Linked DNA regions of Oryctolagus cuniculus. The protein of the gene in region 4 interacts with the protein of the main gene of each other region in a biochemical or structural test. Links are inferred from orthologs where the notes say so. Each region holds a gene or a part of one and is shown on either strand. Other genes may lie near its edges.

Region 1 (4,081 bases), on a different chromosome or scaffold from region 4:
TTTCTGACCAGAGAGGATGCTAAGCAGGTGCAGTGTCGAAGCATCAGCATTGGTGCACGGGATCATAAATGGGTCAGCCAAATGCAGGCTCCACTAATGGCCGGCCCACAGCCTCCACTCGTTAAAATGTAAATACAATCCCTATTATCCAGCATCACAATTAAAAGGTATTTGCAAAAAATCAAAGTGGTGGTCTGGATGATACACTCTCTCCAAGGTGGTTTATAGCTTCGAAAAGTTGTCTTTTTAAAAGTTTCTTGCAGGATTCGGCAATGAGCTCTCTTTCCTGGTGTCTTCACCTTGTGAAGTTGTTTTGTGAACTTAGTGAATCTGGCAAATAAAAACAATAATGAAATGCTGCGAGATGGTTGTTTGCTTTCTGTTTTAGTGTCTTCCAGGCAGACCTACTGAATATTCAGCGAGTGATTAGTTGGTACATTGCCACGTGTGTCCTTCGCATACCCATGCCAGCCACTCTTCCACAAGCACTCTCACTCGGTAATTTACAAATGTTCGGGCTGCACTCTGCACCTGCCACTATTGCAGTAATTAGCTTAGGATACAAAATGGTTTCTAAATTAAGGCTCTGGACTTGTAAAATCAAGAAAGCCTGGGAGCCGGTGAACTCGCAGGACAAATCTCCAGCGATCCCAGGTGGCGGGCACGCCTGAGGTCTGGAGCAGACGCCTCCACAACCCGTGGGCCACAAGTCCGTCAACGGCCGAGGGAGGGGGAGAGGGTCAGGGCCCCGAGGTTCAGGCTGCTCCTCTCTCTCCGGCCACCTGTGGGCAGCTTGAAGCTCTGGGGGCTGTGCCCGGGGGCGGGGGCTGGCGCTGCAGCCAGGTGCAACTGCGAACCGGCGCGGTTAGACGGGGAAGGGGGCTCCGGGAGGCTCAGAACCCCGATCCCGAAAAGGAGAAGCGGAGAGAGGAGGAGGAGGCCGGGCGAGCGGAGCGGAAGAAGAGGAGGAGAACGAGGAGGAAGGAGCGCCGGGAGGAGGAAGAGAGAGGGCAGCGAAGGGCCGGCCGGGCCCTCCCGGCTCCCTCGCGCGGGGCAGTCCTCCGCCGGCGGCCGCCGCCGTCTCGCCTGGGCTCCAGCGCCCCTGTCCCGCCCGCGCCGAGCAGCGCAGCCCCCGCGCGCGCGCGCCCCCGCTCCAGCCCGCGCGCGCCCGCGCCGCCGCTCCAGCCCGGGGAGCATGCGCAGTGGGCGGTGCCGCTCCGGGCCGCCTCGCCGCCGCGAGTAGGAAGCGCGAGCGCCGGGCGCCGGGCTGTCAGTGAGCGTGGGGCCAGCGAGCAAGCGAGCGAGCGAGCGAGAGAGAGCCAGCGAGCGGCTCCGGCTCCGCGCCGCGCCCGCTCGCCTCTCCCCGGCCGCCGCCGCCTCCAGCCCGCGCCCCGCGCCCGGGGTCGCCCCTCGCCCCGCCGCCCCTCCCCCGCCCGCCCCCGCCCACCCCGGCCCTCGCCGGCTGCCGCTCCCCGGCGGAGGCAAGAGGTGGTTGGGGGGGACCATGGCTGACGTTTTCCCGGCCAACGACTCCACGGCGTCTCAGGACGTGGCCAACCGCTTCGCCCGCAAAGGGGCGCTGAGGCAGAAGAACGTGCACGAGGTGAAAGACCACAAATTCATCGCGCGCTTCTTCAAGCAGCCCACCTTCTGCAGCCACTGCACCGACTTCATCTGGTAGGTGCGCGCCGGGCGCACGGGCGGCCGCCCTCGGGCAACTTGCAGAGCCGGCGGGAGTCCCAACTCTCGCCCGGGCCGGCTCGGCTCGCGCGCGCCGCTCTGCCGCGGGAGGGGGCCCGGGCCGGGGCCTCTCCCCTCGCCGGGGCGCACCCGGCCCGGCCGAGCCGGCCGCGGGCTGGCGGGAGGCAGAGGACCAGGGAGCCGGCGGCGGCGCGGAGTTCCCGGGCGCGCTCGGGGGCGTGTGTTTGTGCTGCCCTCGGCTGCCTGGCTCCCGGAGCCGGGCTCTGCTGGGCGCGCGGAGACTTTCTCTCCCTTGGGTGAGCCCGGGGTGGGGGAGAAACAGGAGAGCGAGCAAACTGTTGGAAGCTCGCGGTGGGGGGAGGGGGTCGAAGCGGAGCAGGCGAGTGGCAGGAGGGCAGAGGGAGTCTTTTTTTTTTTTTTTTTTTAAATAGACCCTGTCAACACGAGATTAGACCTGTAGCCCGGCGGAGGAGGACAGAGGCCTTGTTTAAGAAAAATACCCCGATGGCTAAAGGTGCCGGAGTGAGGTGACTTCCAAGAAACGCAGCCGCTGCTCGTTTGGGGCACCTGCGGGATCCATAGCTGGAAAGGGCACCATTGGTCTCAGGTCCTCGGCCTCCCCACCCCCGGGAAGTTCAGGGAGCGCGAGGTGAAGGGCCCGTCTTCCCCGGGTCCTACCCTCGGGGTCGCAGTGGTTGGTTCTGCCTCAGGACACCGGTGGGCAGTTCCAGGGCTGCGGCTGGGGTTCCCTAGTCCCCCCGCCCCCAGGTGCCCAGGGCGTGCCCTGGCACCAGCCAGCTCCCCTCCCAGGCACGCGTGTCCTGGGGGCTCCGGGGTGGGCGTTGCCTGGTTGGCTGCGTCTGACCCCATCACACCTGGGGGAAAAGGTGCTAACAGGCGAGCTCTCTGAAAGTGCTGCTAATGGGGTGTTTAGGCTTGACCTTTGCCTTTTCAGAAATCCGCTTAAAAATACAGGCTTTTTGGAAAAGTACAGCACCTCTATGAATGGTTTCCACCGAGTAGTCCGCATATGGAGGAGTTGAGCTCACAGGAGTAGGGAATCCTAGATAAGGCTGCTTAAAATAAGTTTCTGGAGCGCCCGGGCGCGTCTGCCCAGGCGGAGGGCTGCTGCCTGCAGGGTCAGCTGTGAGGTTGCGTAAAAGAGAAGGGACTGCCGGCGATTCCTTTTGCCCGAAGTGGGTAACTTGGAAGAGGGACGGTGGGGCTGGCAGGCTGACTAGTCTTTGCGCTGTGCTGCCCCGAAGGCTGGAGCGGATGCGGCACCGAGGTCTCCGGGTGTAGTGTGCCCTGGACAGGAAAGGGCTCCTCTCTGCCCGCCCTGGGTGCACCTGGCAGCGTCCACACCTAACAGGCAGCCCCGGGGAATACCAGGGAAAGGTTGGTTCTTGATTTTCAGTTTTCTTCCAGTATTGCTTCGGTGGGTCCTTGATTTTACTTCAGTATTACAGCACTGATATTTTAAGGCTAGATATTTGGATTTATGTGCAGTTTTCTTTTTTTTTTTGGGGGGGGGGGAAGAACTCCTAAGTTAAGTATGAAGGTATGTGAAGTGTTGTATACATTTCAAATGTTATGTAAAGCAAGAGATTACAACCGAGGACCTCCTGAGAATTTCAGTGCAGTTCGTTCCTAGGGGAACAATGTTTGCAACTGAGGAGTTTGTCCTTGCAGGGTAAATTGTTAAAAATTAGATCATGATAATCTGAGATGCAAACAGTAGGGATAATATTTCATAAAATCTGGTTCCACCAGCCAAAATTAAATGTTAAAAGTGGTGCTGTTGGTTAAAATATCATGTGTCTAGCGCTAGCCAAACTCCCATAAGCCACTCTTTAACTCTCTATAGGGAGAAAAACAATTCTCTGTTGGTCCCTAGGAACAAAATTCAGCCACTTCCTTTTCCGCTCTGTCTATAACCTCCTCTTGGTTACTTGATTATCCCTGTCATGTTCTTGTCTTGAAATTTAAGTGTCAGTAACAGAGTGAAAAGAACTGGAAAGAGGCTTGATGTGATGAGATGTTTCTTGGATCCCTTCTAGGTGAGAGAGACTTTTTTCCAAGTTGAATTTGTACCGTGATCTCGCCAGGTACTTGGACATGTCATTCCTAGCAGCTCCCCAGATAGGAGGTCCAAACCTTTAACTCTGTAGAACATTTTGTCCTATAGCTTGTTTAAAATGTGCTATGCCACACAGACTCTGTTAAGCTGTTTTATTCTTGTTTCTGTTTTTCAGGGGGTTTGGGAAGCAAGGCTTCCAGTGCCAAGGTAAGCTGTCTCACTGGATTTTATTTTCAAGTACAACATGAAGTAAGCACTGCAGACACGAAATGTGTTCCCGGCCATCCTTTGTGATGTAAA
Region 2 (4,237 bases), on a different chromosome or scaffold from region 4:
TAAATGTTGGTTTGTTTCCAAGGCCTGTATCCTTGTGCCATCACACAAATATTCCCACTTTCAAAAAATTCCCATTTTCTTTGACCACTGGCACACAGATAGGCTAATGTCTACCAAGCTACGTTAATAAAGTTGGAGGACACTGGATAAAATGTGATCTTACTTAAACAATAAAAGAAGTATTTCTGAGTGTATGTACATATATTCCTAAGTACCCATCCTTTTACTGTGGAAGTCCATTTCTTAGGCTATATTCTATTAAACTACTTTCAGATATCCATAAAAATATAGGTACAAAGATGTTTACCTAAATAATATTTTTAGTAAAATTAGGTAGAAAATATGCCTATCAATGGAGGAACAAATAAATTATAACATACCTACATTATACTACCATAGACAAACATCTATCCAAAACATTTTTTTAAAAGTTTACTTATTTACTTGAAAGTCAGAATTACAGAGAGGGAGAGGCAGAGAGAGAGAGAGAGAGAGAGAGAGAGAGAGGTCGTCCATCCGCTGGTTCACTCCCCAAATGGCTGCAATGGTCGGTGTGGACCAGGCAAAGCCAGGAGCCAGGAGCTTCTTCCCCGTCTCCCACGTGGGTGCGGGGGCCCAAGGACTTGGGACATTAGGCCATTACCAGGGAGCTGGATGAAGTGGAGCAGCCGGGACTCAAACCTCAAACCGGCGCCACCATCACAGTACTTCCTAATTCGATGTATTGAGGTAAAAAAAAAAAAAAAAAAAAAAAAAAAAAAAAAAATTCCTTAAGAAGCCCAGCGCTCAGGGTCTGTGAGGTCTTACGTGTTTGTCAAGTAGTTTAAAATGCTAATTCCCAGGCTGCCTTCCAAAGATTCGAATTAAGGTTCCTGCATTTAAATCGAGTCAAACGTTTCCTTTCGCCGGGAATGTTAAAGGTTAGGAAGTGCACATCCCCAGAGGCTGCACCGGCGGAGGCGGCTGACTCGGTCCCCGTGTGGCCCCAAGTTGCCATAAAAATGAGGACTTTGTTGATTTTTCCTCAGAAAGGGCGGATTTATAAGAACACAGAGTCCTGTAAGTCTGGCCAATAAAGAATAAAAACCGTCGTCCACTCGTTCTCCCGCTCTGGCACCTGAGACTAGCTGTGGGGAAGCCATTAGCTCCGAGCCCAGGCTTTCGGGCAGGTCAAAATCCCGCGCTGATTATGCCATCTTGGAGGCTTGCGGGAGACGAGGGGATGGAGGAAGGAGAATGGAGCTGCTTTCTGGCTTATTCCCGACTGCCTGAGCCTCCGCATCCAGCACAGCGAAGGCCTGCTGTCGCCATCTTGCAGGGTGGGCTGCGCAGGCTCTTGGCGCGAAGCCGACGCGCTGGAACCGGAGAGGACGTGGAACCGCCGGAGGTGGGGAGCGCGCGCCGCAAGGGGAAAGCGCGCCTGCGCATCGGCGACGGCGGCAGAGGGGTGGGGCAGGGTTTCGAGTGCGCGTGCCCGGTGTGAGCCCGCGAAGTACCTGGAAGAGGTGGGGGGAGAGGTAGAGAGGAGTGTGTTGAAGAGCGCTTGCGCAGCAGCGCGACCGTACTGCGAGAAGGGGCTGAAGAGCACGCGCGCGGAGGCGGGACTTGGAAAGCTATCGCGAGATTTCTGGTGGCTATATATACTAGCGGGGAGCCCGCGTCCTTTCCCTGGCGTGATTCCGTCCTGCGCGGCTGTTCTTTGCAGCAGTGGGCGTCTAATCTCCGTCCGCTTTCTCTCCTACCCAAGTTCGTCCCTCCGCCTCATGGAAGATTCGATGGACATGGACATGAGCCCCCTGAGGCCCCAGAACTATCTTTTCGGTAACTATTGTGGGGGTTGAAGCGAGGCCGAGCAGGGCCTGGTGGTGGCTTTAAGGGTTGGGGGGAGGGGGCGGCGGGAGTCTGACTGAGGCCCGGGCTGTTGGAAAAAGGCCGGCAGACTGGAGGCCGGAGAGAATAGGGAGCAGACCGCAGGCGTCCTGGTGCTGAGCGGGGTGGGAGCTGGGAGCAGAGAGTGAGCCGTGTGAAAGGGGTGGGGAGGAGCGGCGGCCCCCGGCCTGGGGCGTGAGCGGGCCATGGCCCAAGGCCGTCTGAAGGTTCGGCGTTGCCTGGGCTGCGAAGTAGGATTCCAGGCGTGATTTTTTGTCCCGTAGTGTGTAAGTCGGCTGGCTTGTTGCTAGGCCGTGTTACAGGAGGTTGGGGGGGGTGCATGGAGGGGCGTGGAAGTCCCTGCTGGAGGAGGAGGTGGGTGCAGCCTGGCGTCCTCATCCAGAGTTCCGGGCCCGGAGACAGCTCGGGTGCCTCAGCCAGTGAACCGGGGAGGGGATGTGCGGCGGGGCTTGAGGAGGCCGCGACCGCCCGAAGCACGTGGTTGCCACGTGGTTGGGGGAAGGGAGGGGGTGTGGGCTGTACATCCGGGGCTCTGGCATCTTGTCACCCACCCACCCCCCGCCCCAGCCAGGGGTCCTGTGGCTGCTTTGAGACTGTTGGGCGGGAAGTGATAGGTGTAGTGGCGGATTGAACTAGGATTCTGGAAGTCTTTGTCCAGCGTCTGCAGCATCAACTGTACCGTAACTGGCCTTTTTAGAGTCCTCTTTCTGCCTCAGCTGGTAGACGGACCTAAACCACAATACAGGTCTGATGCTCAGAGAAGTAATTAGGTTAAGGTTGCGCTTAAAAACCAGATTTAAACAAAATCCTTGATTGCAGAGCCAGCGCTTCATAAGTGAGGCTTATTTTTTTTCCAGGAAGGGTGTAGCGGAGGTAGTCCAGCATGGATTTTGTTATGTTCACCAACGTTCTCGGGTTGTAACCAGAGATTGGGAACCACAGCGCCCCCGTCCCCCGCGAACTCACACTACTATGTATGCATAGTTTTAAGGAATTACAGTAGAACTTAATTCTGGGAACCCTTTGTTGGTTAGACATGGAAATAGATGCTAATCCTACCCCTAGTTTACAAACCATGTTGAGGTTTGTTAGCACTAGCATGCTTAAGTATCTATTGTGAATGGGAGTGAAGTGTAACCACGTAAATTTTTATTCTGGCAATAATTAAAACAGTTTCCCGATGGAGTGGGAGTAGATAATGTGCACGGTAGTGCACTTTAGGACTTAATTCTTAGCCATTTTTAGAGGTTTCTGGTGATTTTATAAACAATAATTCTTTTTTTTGGCCCTTTATATTGGAAGTGTCCTTGATTGTGTCTGTTGCCTCTATTTCTAATGTGCATCACTTTGGAATATTGACCCTTACAAGTTGATTCTTTTATGTTGGTACTTTTCTCTGTAGATGAAAGCTGTTCATCTGAGAAACCATTCTCATTGCTAATTTTCCACTATTGGGAGTTTAGATAGATAATTCCAGTTTTTTAAATGGTTGGGAATTAACTATTATATATTAGGCTTCATTATTGATATGTCTGCAGAAGTAGTAGTGCTTGTCTCAGTGTATTGAAAAATACTGTAATGAAAATGCAACTAATACAGACTTGTAAGGACCTTAAATGATTTTTAAAAATGAGTGTTGAGGAAACCAGAAAGAGACCATTCTTCCTACTCTGTGGTAGCTAAAGTAGAGGAAAACTACTTAAAAGGTTAGCTTTGTTAATTTTCTGCTTGTTAGAATTGCTTTTTTCTTTTACAGGTTGTGAACTAAAGGCTGACAAAGATTATCACTTTAAAGTGGACAATGATGAAAATGAGCACCAGTTATCTTTAAGAACGGTACTTAAGCTTTTAAAATAAACATTTCTTGATTTCAGCAATTTAATTGTCCCCTATTTCTCTGCTTATAAGAGTTTTTATGATTGGATATTGTATATACCTCATCAATAAACTTGATTAAAAAGCTGGGCATGTTCACTGCTACCTGGTAATCTGGTAAAGTCAAGTCACCGTTTTATTATCTTGCTTCATTTGAATCATGAAAGATCTCTAGGGTGTCTGCCAGACGAACCTACTCAGCTTTGTAGTGGGTGTTTAATAGGTGTTCTGTATAATATGTGTGCATTTTTAAGTATTTCTTCAAGTTTACTGAACATGAGAAATTGGTTTGCCAATCTTACTAAACTTGAAGGTAGTGTTGGCACAAGTTGGAAATAATGATAAAAGTCATATTTGGTATTTTTAAACACAGATTTCCGAGGCAGGATTGTAAAACAGTTGGAAATTAAAGTTTACAAACTGTTCACAGGTCAGTTTAGGCGCTGGTGCCAAGGATGAACTGCACATTGTT
Region 3 (4,050 bases), on a different chromosome or scaffold from region 4:
TTTTGAGACCATAAGGAAATAGAAGTTTCTTCTGTGTGATTTTAAGCTGGGGCCAAATGTAATTCTCATTGTTAAGAACGTAGGCATCACACACTAAAAAAACATTATGGACATTATGAACAACCTAAAGGGAACAGATTCACAGGTGAGAGTTGAACAAAAGAAAAATAAAAGAGGTGAACACCAGCCTTGCCCAGACAGGGAGACAAAAAAATCAAAAAATGAGTCACAGTGGAAAAGCCATCAAGAAGAATAGAGGATCCCAGTATTTCTGGGACAAAAGAATTATGATTGTTTACCAGAATACATCTAGCAGCTGGTTTGACTGTATCATGCCACTGTTGCTCTTAAAACATTCTTTAATCTACATCCTCAAAGGATTTTCTGAGAGCCACAGAACCAACAAGAGCAGGACAACAGAGCAAAAGTATTTTTCACTTTATGTTTCTGTGTGGGAGCAAACTGTTGAAATCTTTACTTAATGTATGCTAAACTGATCTTCTGTATATAAAGAGAATCGAAAATGAATCTTGATGTGAATGGAAGGGGAGACGGAGTGGGAAAGGGGAGGGTTGCGGGTGGGAGGGACGTTATGGGGGGGAAGCCATTGTAATCCATAAGCTGTACTTTGGAAATTTATATTCATTAAATAAAAGTTTAAGAAAAAAAAAAAGGAACTATTCCTCTGAAATAGACACCAGAAACTTAATTTCTCCAACTGCAATGAAGACTCCTTTTTGCTGATGGAGTGAATGGTAACTGAAGGCCAGAAAAGTTATGCTACTTACCTCAAATCACTCAATTATAGTGGTCACACTAGGACCAGAACTAAGGTTTTATCCTGTTAGGTTTTATTTTGCCCTGTTCCACCTTCTTTGTACCCTAACTACACTGCAAACCCAGCAATGTGTAGCGTTGATTCCTAAACCTCACGGCCTGTTGGGCTTTTAGATTACCCCCGTCTAGGTAAGGCAGTGTGAGTCCCGCGCTGCCCTGATAACTGGGTGGAACAAAAAGTTGAGCAAAGTGGAGCTGTCGTCTTATTTGGGCGTGTCTACCTCAGGAAGGGAGGGAAAACCAGAGCACGGCGAGCGGAGACGCAGCCGTGGAGGAAACACAGAACGTGGGTGTGGTGAGCCGGCAAGGGTTGCCGGGACACCAAGGGAGCCGGGCCAGAGAGGTGAGGCCAGGAGTCTTCCGTAGGCGCGCGCCTGGCGACCCCGCAGGAAGTAGGAAGCGCGAGCGCACACTACAAGTCCCAGAAGCCCCAGTTTCCTGGAGCCCGCGTCCGACCGCGCAACGCCCGCCGGGAGCCGGCCGGAGCGGCCAAGATGTCGCAACCTAAGAAGAGAAAGCATGAGTCGGGGGGCGGCGGGGAAGGAGGGGAGGGAGCCGAGGAGGAAGATGGTGGAGCGCTGGAGGCTGGCGTGCCGCGACCCCGGAGGACTAAGCGGGAGCGGGACCAGCTGTACTACGAGTGCTACTCGGATGTGTCGGTCCACGAGGAGATGATCGCCGATCGCGTCCGCACGGACGCCTACCGCCTGGGGATCCTGCGGAACTGGGCAGCGCTGCGAGGCAAGACGGTGCTGGATGTGGGCGCGGGCACCGGCATTCTCAGCGTCTTCTGTGCCCAGGCCGGGGCTCGGCGCGTGTACGCGGTGGAGGCCAGCGCCATCTGGCAACAGGCCCGCGAGGTGGTGCGGCTCAACGGGCTGGAGGACCGGGTGCTCGTCCTGCCGGGGCCCGTGGAGACGGTGGAGCTGCCAGAGCAAGTGGATGCCATCGTAAGCGAATGGATGGGCTACGGACTCCTGCACGAGTCCATGCTGAGCTCCGTGCTGCACGCGCGGACCAAGTGGCTGAAGGAGGGCGGGCTTCTCCTGCCGGCCTCCGCCGAGCTCTTCGTAGCCCCCATCAGCGACCAGATGCTGGAATGGCGCCTGGGCTTCTGGAGCCAGGTGAAGCAGCACTATGGCGTGGACATGAGCTGCCTGGAGAGCTTCGCCACGCGCTGCCTCATGGGCCACTCGGAGATCGTGGTGCAGGGCCTGTCCGGCGAGGATGTGCTGGCCCGGCCGCAGCGCTTTGCTCAGCTTGAGCTGGCCCGCGCCGGCCTGGAGCAGGAGCTGGAGGCTGGCGTGGGCGGGCGCTTCCGCTGCAGCAGCTACGGTTCGGCGCCCCTGCACGGCTTTGCCATCTGGTTCCAGGTGACCTTTCCTGGAGGGGACTCGGAGAAACCCCTGGTGCTGTCCACCTCGCCTTTTCACCCGGCCACACACTGGAAGCAGGCGCTCCTCTACTTGAACGAGCCGGTGCCAGTGGAGCAAGACACGGACATTTCTGGAGAGATCACTCTGCTGCCCTCCCGGGACAACCCCCGCCGCCTGCGCGTGCTGCTGCGCTACAAAGTGGGGGACCAGGAGGAAAAGACCAAAGACTTTGCCATGGAGGACTGAGCGCCGCGTTTTCTCCCAGCGACCTCCCAAGGCGGCCTGACCTGAGTGGGAGAGGTGTAGGGAGGTTGGAGGAGAAAGGGCGATCCCACGTGCAAGTAGGGGGCAAAGTCTGCTCCCTTTTCCCTCAGGGCTGCTGGGGCAGGAACCTGACTTCAGTCTCCGTTTGAGGAGATTTCTTCTAACTGTGTTCCTTTTTTTTTTTTCTACAAAGTGGTCCCCTCCCCACCCTTCAACCAAGAGATACACCATGCTTGTTAATGGGCGTTTAAGCCTCAAAAGCATGTGGTACCGAGCATTTGGGTTTCCATTTCTTTTGTTTCACAGGAAAAGCAAATACACGAATGAAACGGCAGTTTATGAAGGGTCCATGCACACGCCTGACACCTCACAGAAAGGTGAAAAAGTTTAGTGAAACTTTCATTGTCACTTTAATATCTCTAGAGCCATATTTCTGTCTCTGAATTCCCCCTTTTCCTGGGTGCCTCTAGGCTATGATCCTTGTTCCTCATTATTTTTTTAAATAAACGACTACTGGTAATGAAGAAAAGATGAGGAAGCTGTTTAAATGGCCCTCTTCTCATTATTCTTATTACTTCCATGGGGTGCTGAAGTTGATGAACACATTAGTCCATTAAATAAAATGGACTTTATGTAATTTTATAGCAGGTATAAGACATTGAGAAGGTCTATTTAGTTTAAAAGGATCTGAAACCAGCCAAATAGTATTGATTTTTAAAGTTTTTGTCTTCACTGTTAAGACAACCAAAACTGTTTCATGTATGTTCCAAAATATTTGTGTAATTCCTGTGAAACCTGCTGACAGAGGAGCTTTCTGAATCTAACCCAGTACTTATTACCATAGTAAATGATTTAGTTCACTAAATCAAGGAAAATATTTTTCCTGCTAGAAAAGTGCACTCATTCTCATTGAAACTTTCTCATGTAGAAGGAGCATGTGATTTGGCCTACTTTCATCTAGTGAAATTGACTTCTTTAGTTTTTGTTCTTCTTTTTAGCTCAGCCAAATGTGAAAGTTGTGAATTTGGGAAAATCACTTGTAATGAAGTGTGAGTCATGTTATCAGATTTACTTCACTGATGTTTCCCTCCTTATCCTTGTGGCAAATAAAACAACATTCGCACTATTTTTATAGATGAAGTAAGTGTTCTGTACTGAGTTATAATGCTTTCGCCTTATTGATGCTGTCAGTTCTTAAGAAATGTGTTACAACCCCTGCAGCATACAGCTTCAGGGCAGTTGACTACGCTTAATATTTGGGTTTTGCCATACTAACAGCTTTTATATGCTAATAGAAAACAAGTGTGAAAAATTGGTGATCTTAAGTTCTACAACATTTTCTTTATTGTAATTTTGCTCTTTTGTTCATTGCATATTAAAATACTTAAATAATATAACTAATTTGCTAAAATTTTGTTGTGTTGAATGAGACTTTCTTTGACAAAATTTTCAATTTTATAATAGCAAGCAGTGCAGTTATAATTGTCATCATTTTGATGATTGGATAGTTACCATCATGTATAAATGCTGGTCTTAGGAAGACTTGTTTTAACCTGGAGGTAAAAGTAGTTCT
Region 4 (4,013 bases):
CGCGGCCCCGGGGTGGGGGCCGGCCCCCTCCCCCACCGGAAACATTCCTGAAACATTCCTGAAACTTGGAGGCCCGGCCCCTCGGGCTCCCCACCCCGCCCCCACTGCGGGCTCCGGGTTTTCCTCGCGCCCCCCCACCCCCGCCCCCGCCCCTCCGCGCGCCCCCTGAGGAGGGGGCTGGGCCTGGGCCTCGCTGACCAGGGAGGAAGAAGGGGAGCAAAGAAAAACATGAGTCACTGCCGTGTGTCACTGGGCCGCATTACAATTCCCTGCCTCACAGGAGGTGTGGAAGGCCGCCTCGGGGACCGGGCGCGGGAGGTGCGCCCGACAGGGCCGCGGCCCGGCCTGCAGGGCGCGCCTCCCCTCTCCGACCCTGCCCTCTCTTCCCCCACCGCCATCTTCCCGCTCTGGCTTCCTCCTCGTTCAGCGCAACAAGTCCCGGTGGAGCCCGGCGCGGCGGGCCCGGACGGCGCGCGTCAGCTCAGACCCTGCCCGCAAAGCGCTTCCAGGCGTCGCCGGCCCAACCCTTTGTTGTTGTTGTTTTTTTTTTTTTTAAACCACGGCAGATGAGAAATCTGGGGGCCACTGCGGGACCGCGTGCTTCCAAAACGGCCGGAGGGCGCCAAAGGGAGTGACGCCCCGCTCGGGTCCAGCCCGCGAGCGAGCCAGTTGTGTCTCGCTCGAAGGCTGGACCTTGGTCATGCTTCGCGTGTGGCCGTTAACAAAATCTAAACACCTTGCATTTCACAAGACGGTACCCCACCCGCCAGTCACGCGCGGGATGTCACTGAAACGCACATGCTGACACACCTGTCGGCCTGGAGAAATCCGCAGGCCGTCGGTGTAAGGGAAAGGGGCGGCGCGTAGGCCGCGGAAGTCTCCCACACCCGCGTTTCTCTGCCCCACTCCGGCCGCGTGGACCCCCGCGGGCACGAAGGCCCACCCACACCCCCCACGGCGGGGCGCACACGCCCGGAGCGCCCCTAGAGGTGACTGTCCCGGGACTCCGGTTCCAGACGGTGAGGACGCCCCCGCCCCCCGCCCCGACGCCAGAAGCCCCTTCGAGATTGCTCGGCGCCCTGCTCCCCCTAGGACTGTGGGGAGTGGATCGTGACTGGGCGCACCCCCACAGCAGCCTAGCACCCACCCGCGCGGCGGCGGCGGCGGCGGCTGGCGGGCGGCCGCCCTTTTAAATCCCCGGGCTCATTTGCATGGCCCCGCCCCCCGGTGACACGGCTGGCGCGGGCGGGCCCGTCCCCCCTGCCCCTGGGTCGCTCTTTTTAAGCTCCCCTGAGCCGGGGCTGCGCTCCTCTAATTGGGACTCCGAGCCGGGGCTATTTCTGGCGCTGGCGCGGCTCCAAGAAGGCGTGAGTTCGCGGCCGCTCCGGTGGCTGCTTTTTTTTTTTTTTTAAATATATCTATAATTTAATTAAATTATTTATTTATTGAGGCCGCGCACGGGCCGTGCCCGGCTTCCTGCCCCTCGCCATCCTTCGGGGGAGGGGGGAGACTCCTGCCCACCCCCCCACCCCCGGCTGGATGTGACATATAAATACCCCGCGGGGGCCTGGGCGGCGAGCACGCGGCGGCGGCGGGCTCTGAGCGCCTCTGCCCTCTCTCCCGGTTTCAGATCCGCATTTGCTACCAGCGGCGGCGGCGGAGCCAGGCCGGTCCTCAGCGCCCAGCACCGTCGCTCCCGGCAGCCCCGGAGCGCGCACCGCAGGCCGGCGGCCGAGCTCGCGGTGAGTCGTCCCCGCGGCCCGCGGCGGCGGCGGCCGAGGGGGGCGCCCGCGCCCCCGCCCGGGGCTGCAGCGCGCGCCGCCGGCTTTATTCCCAGGCCGGGGCGGCGCGAGCCGGCGGCGGGGGAGGGCCGCGCGGCGCGGGGGCGGGCGGCGGGGCCCGGCGGCGCGGGGAGGACGCCCGCACCCCTTCCCCCGCGCCGCGGGCGCCCTGCGGGGGGGGGGCGGGGACCCTGGGAAGGCAAGCGCGCGGTGGGGGAGGGGGCGCGCGGCTGCGGCGAGCGCGAGTTGTGCACCCGGCGGAGCCCGGTGCACCTCGCGCGGCGGCCGCTCCCGCCGGGGCCGGGGGTGGGGGGCGGGGAGGAGGCCGGGCTGCGGCGGGCGTGCGGGGGCTCGGACGCCCCCCGCAGCCGCACGAAGTTCTGGAAGTGAGGGGGATGGGCGGGAACCCCGAGATTGGGCTCTCGCCCCCTGCGCGGGACGAGCCGGCTGCCCGGCCTGGATTTGGGGCTTCACCCCGACCCCACCTCTGGCCCGAGCTGCGCCTCCTCAGCCCCCAGGGCCGGGCCTGCCCTCCGCCCCCACAAACTGGTTTCTCTGCTTTGCTGGGCTCTGTTGGAACTAGTCCCCTGGACTCCCCGTTTCTGTTTTCCTGGGGTTTTATTTGGCGGGGCGGGCGCAGAGAGGGGGCTTTCTTCCTGTCCCCCGCCAGCGCGCGCCAGGTCTCCTGCCCCGGGGCGGGCTTGGGTGCCCCCTCTGGCAGGAAGTGGGGCCGGGTGCACCCGCGTGGCGGTGCATGCGGCCGGGGTGCGCTCGTTTCCCGCGCCTGCAGGGACGGCCTGCGCCCCTCCCCCTCGCGCTCTGGCCCCGACTCCCGCCGGTCTGCCCACAACGGCCCGGCGCAGGCACTTGCAGACGCCGCCTGGGTCTGGAGCAAGGGCCGACAGGGTCTTCACCAGCCGCTAGCTGGGAGAGCACACCGGTGGGCTGGGAGGGTCGCCAGTTTGCTGTGTGACCTTGGAAAACTCATCAGGCTTCTCTGGGCTACTTTTTTATTTTTTCCTTTATGCAGAATAAAAGGGACTGCTAAGATGAGGTACTGGGGTCATTCCTGCAGGGCCTTTAAGCGCTGGAGGAGCCTGGGACCCGAGTGGGCTTCCTACAAGCTGAGGGATTGGGGTTGGCCCCGAAACGTGGCTGCTCCAGGCCAGGCCTCGTTGATGTTCGCGAACAGGTGGCATAGAGACCAACGTTTCTTGGCCTCCCTAGAGAGAGCCTCAGGACTTCGTGGGGGCCTGGCCGGGTGGGGTAGGGGGGAGGCAGGCACCCACCCCATGCCATCAGAGGTTCGGGGGACTCCGGGCCAGCTTCGCCCAACTGGAACCCCCCCTGCGAGGGGGCCCTGGGCAGACCTTATGTGAGGTCAGCACTCATTTAGCTGATTAATTTTGATGTTTAGTTTGAAGGGGGCCTGTGGTGTAATATAAGATTCTAATCACTGGCTGTAATTACAGAGCAGGCCAAGCCACTAATGACGGAGCAGGCTAAATCAACCACCTTGTTTGCAAGGGTCTCCCAGTCTGAGATATAAAATAGGGTAATTACCAGACAAAGTCCCGCCGTCTGGAGGGGCTCTGTGCTTGAGGGGTGGGGGCCTTGGGTCCTCAAAAAAAATCGCAAGTTTGCAAAAATGTTTTTTCTTTCCTGGGTTAAAATTGGAAATTGCCTCAGAATCTCTCAAAGGAGGAAGAGAAGTCATTTACCGATAGAAGGTTTCTGAGGCTTCAGTTTTTTTATAAACTGTTCTGAGTTGGAGCCCCAAAGCCGTGTGGGGAGGCAGTGGAGACAGGTGTCTTAGCATTGCCTGCATTTCACAGACGGAGGGGCGGGGCAGGCAGGGGGTGGTGGCTGCAGGCTTCCAGGTCCACTTGGGGCTGCTGACCGGGCTGGCCCATGCTGCCTGCTCCAGGAGGGATAGGTGAACTCATCGTGGTGTGTGCGGGGGGAGGGGGGTGCTAATCAGACCCCCAGCAGGCTTTCCTCGCACCCCGCCCGCTGCAGGCTCCACCATCTTCCTCCCTCAGTTGTCCCCATCTTTGGAGTCCTCAAGGATTTCCCCTGGGACAGGGCAGAGACCTGGTGGGTGGGCACCAGCCCTGGCTGTGTGAGTGGTGGTCCTTGAGGCTTGAGCCCCGCCAGATGCACACAGAGTCGCTGTGTGTGGCTGCTGCAGCTGCCACCGTCTCATCTTCCCTGGTCCCTTCCGAACTGGCC

What was found.
Region 1: of the proteins of HMGA1 (region 4) and PRKCA, one has a biochemical effect on the other in vitro, tested with the Homo sapiens proteins (2 studies listed by BioGRID). The link is inferred for Oryctolagus cuniculus from reciprocal best matches to the Homo sapiens genes HMGA1 and PRKCA.
Region 2: the proteins of HMGA1 (region 4) and NPM1 interact in far-western blotting, tested with the Homo sapiens proteins (2 studies listed by BioGRID). The link is inferred for Oryctolagus cuniculus from reciprocal best matches to the Homo sapiens genes HMGA1 and NPM1.
Region 3: of the proteins of HMGA1 (region 4) and PRMT6, one has a biochemical effect on the other in vitro, tested with the Homo sapiens proteins (2 studies listed by BioGRID, with this or other methods). The link is inferred for Oryctolagus cuniculus from reciprocal best matches to the Homo sapiens genes HMGA1 and PRMT6.

The regions. Positions count from the first base shown.
Region 1 is NC_091448.1:12,520,978-12,525,058, forward strand, and holds the start of PRKCA (protein kinase C alpha type), read left to right. Parts: upstream 1-1,274; 5' UTR 1,275-1,504; coding exon 1,505-1,677; intron 1,678-3,956; coding exon 3,957-3,988; intron 3,989-4,081. UniProt on the Homo sapiens protein: Calcium-activated, phospholipid- and diacylglycerol (DAG)-dependent serine/threonine-protein kinase that is involved in positive and negative regulation of cell proliferation, apoptosis, differentiation, migration and adhesion, tumorigenesis, cardiac hypertrophy, angiogenesis, platelet function and inflammation, by directly phosphorylating targets such as RAF1, BCL2, CSPG4, TNNT2/CTNT, or activating signaling cascade involving MAPK1/3 (ERK1/2) and RAP1GAP.
Region 2 is NC_091437.1:58,113,568-58,117,804, forward strand, and holds the start of NPM1 (nucleophosmin), read left to right. Parts: upstream 1-1,430; 5' UTR 1,431-1,763; coding exon 1,764-1,821; intron 1,822-3,646; coding exon 3,647-3,726; intron 3,727-4,195; coding exon 4,196-4,237. UniProt on the Homo sapiens protein: Involved in diverse cellular processes such as ribosome biogenesis, centrosome duplication, protein chaperoning, histone assembly, cell proliferation, and regulation of tumor suppressors p53/TP53 and ARF.
Region 3 is NC_091438.1:63,347,824-63,351,873, reverse strand, and holds PRMT6 (protein arginine N-methyltransferase 6), read left to right. Parts: upstream 1-1,243; 5' UTR 1,244-1,331; coding exon 1,332-2,459; 3' UTR 2,460-3,888; downstream 3,889-4,050. UniProt on the Homo sapiens protein: Arginine methyltransferase that can catalyze the formation of both omega-N monomethylarginine (MMA) and asymmetrical dimethylarginine (aDMA), with a strong preference for the formation of aDMA.
Region 4 is NC_091436.1:135,099,459-135,103,471, reverse strand, and holds the start of HMGA1 (high mobility group protein HMG-I/HMG-Y), read left to right. Parts: upstream 1-1,208; 5' UTR 1,209-1,367; intron 1,368-1,630; 5' UTR 1,631-1,742; intron 1,743-4,013. UniProt on the Homo sapiens protein: HMG-I/Y bind preferentially to the minor groove of A+T rich regions in double-stranded DNA. It is suggested that these proteins could function in nucleosome phasing and in the 3'-end processing of mRNA transcripts.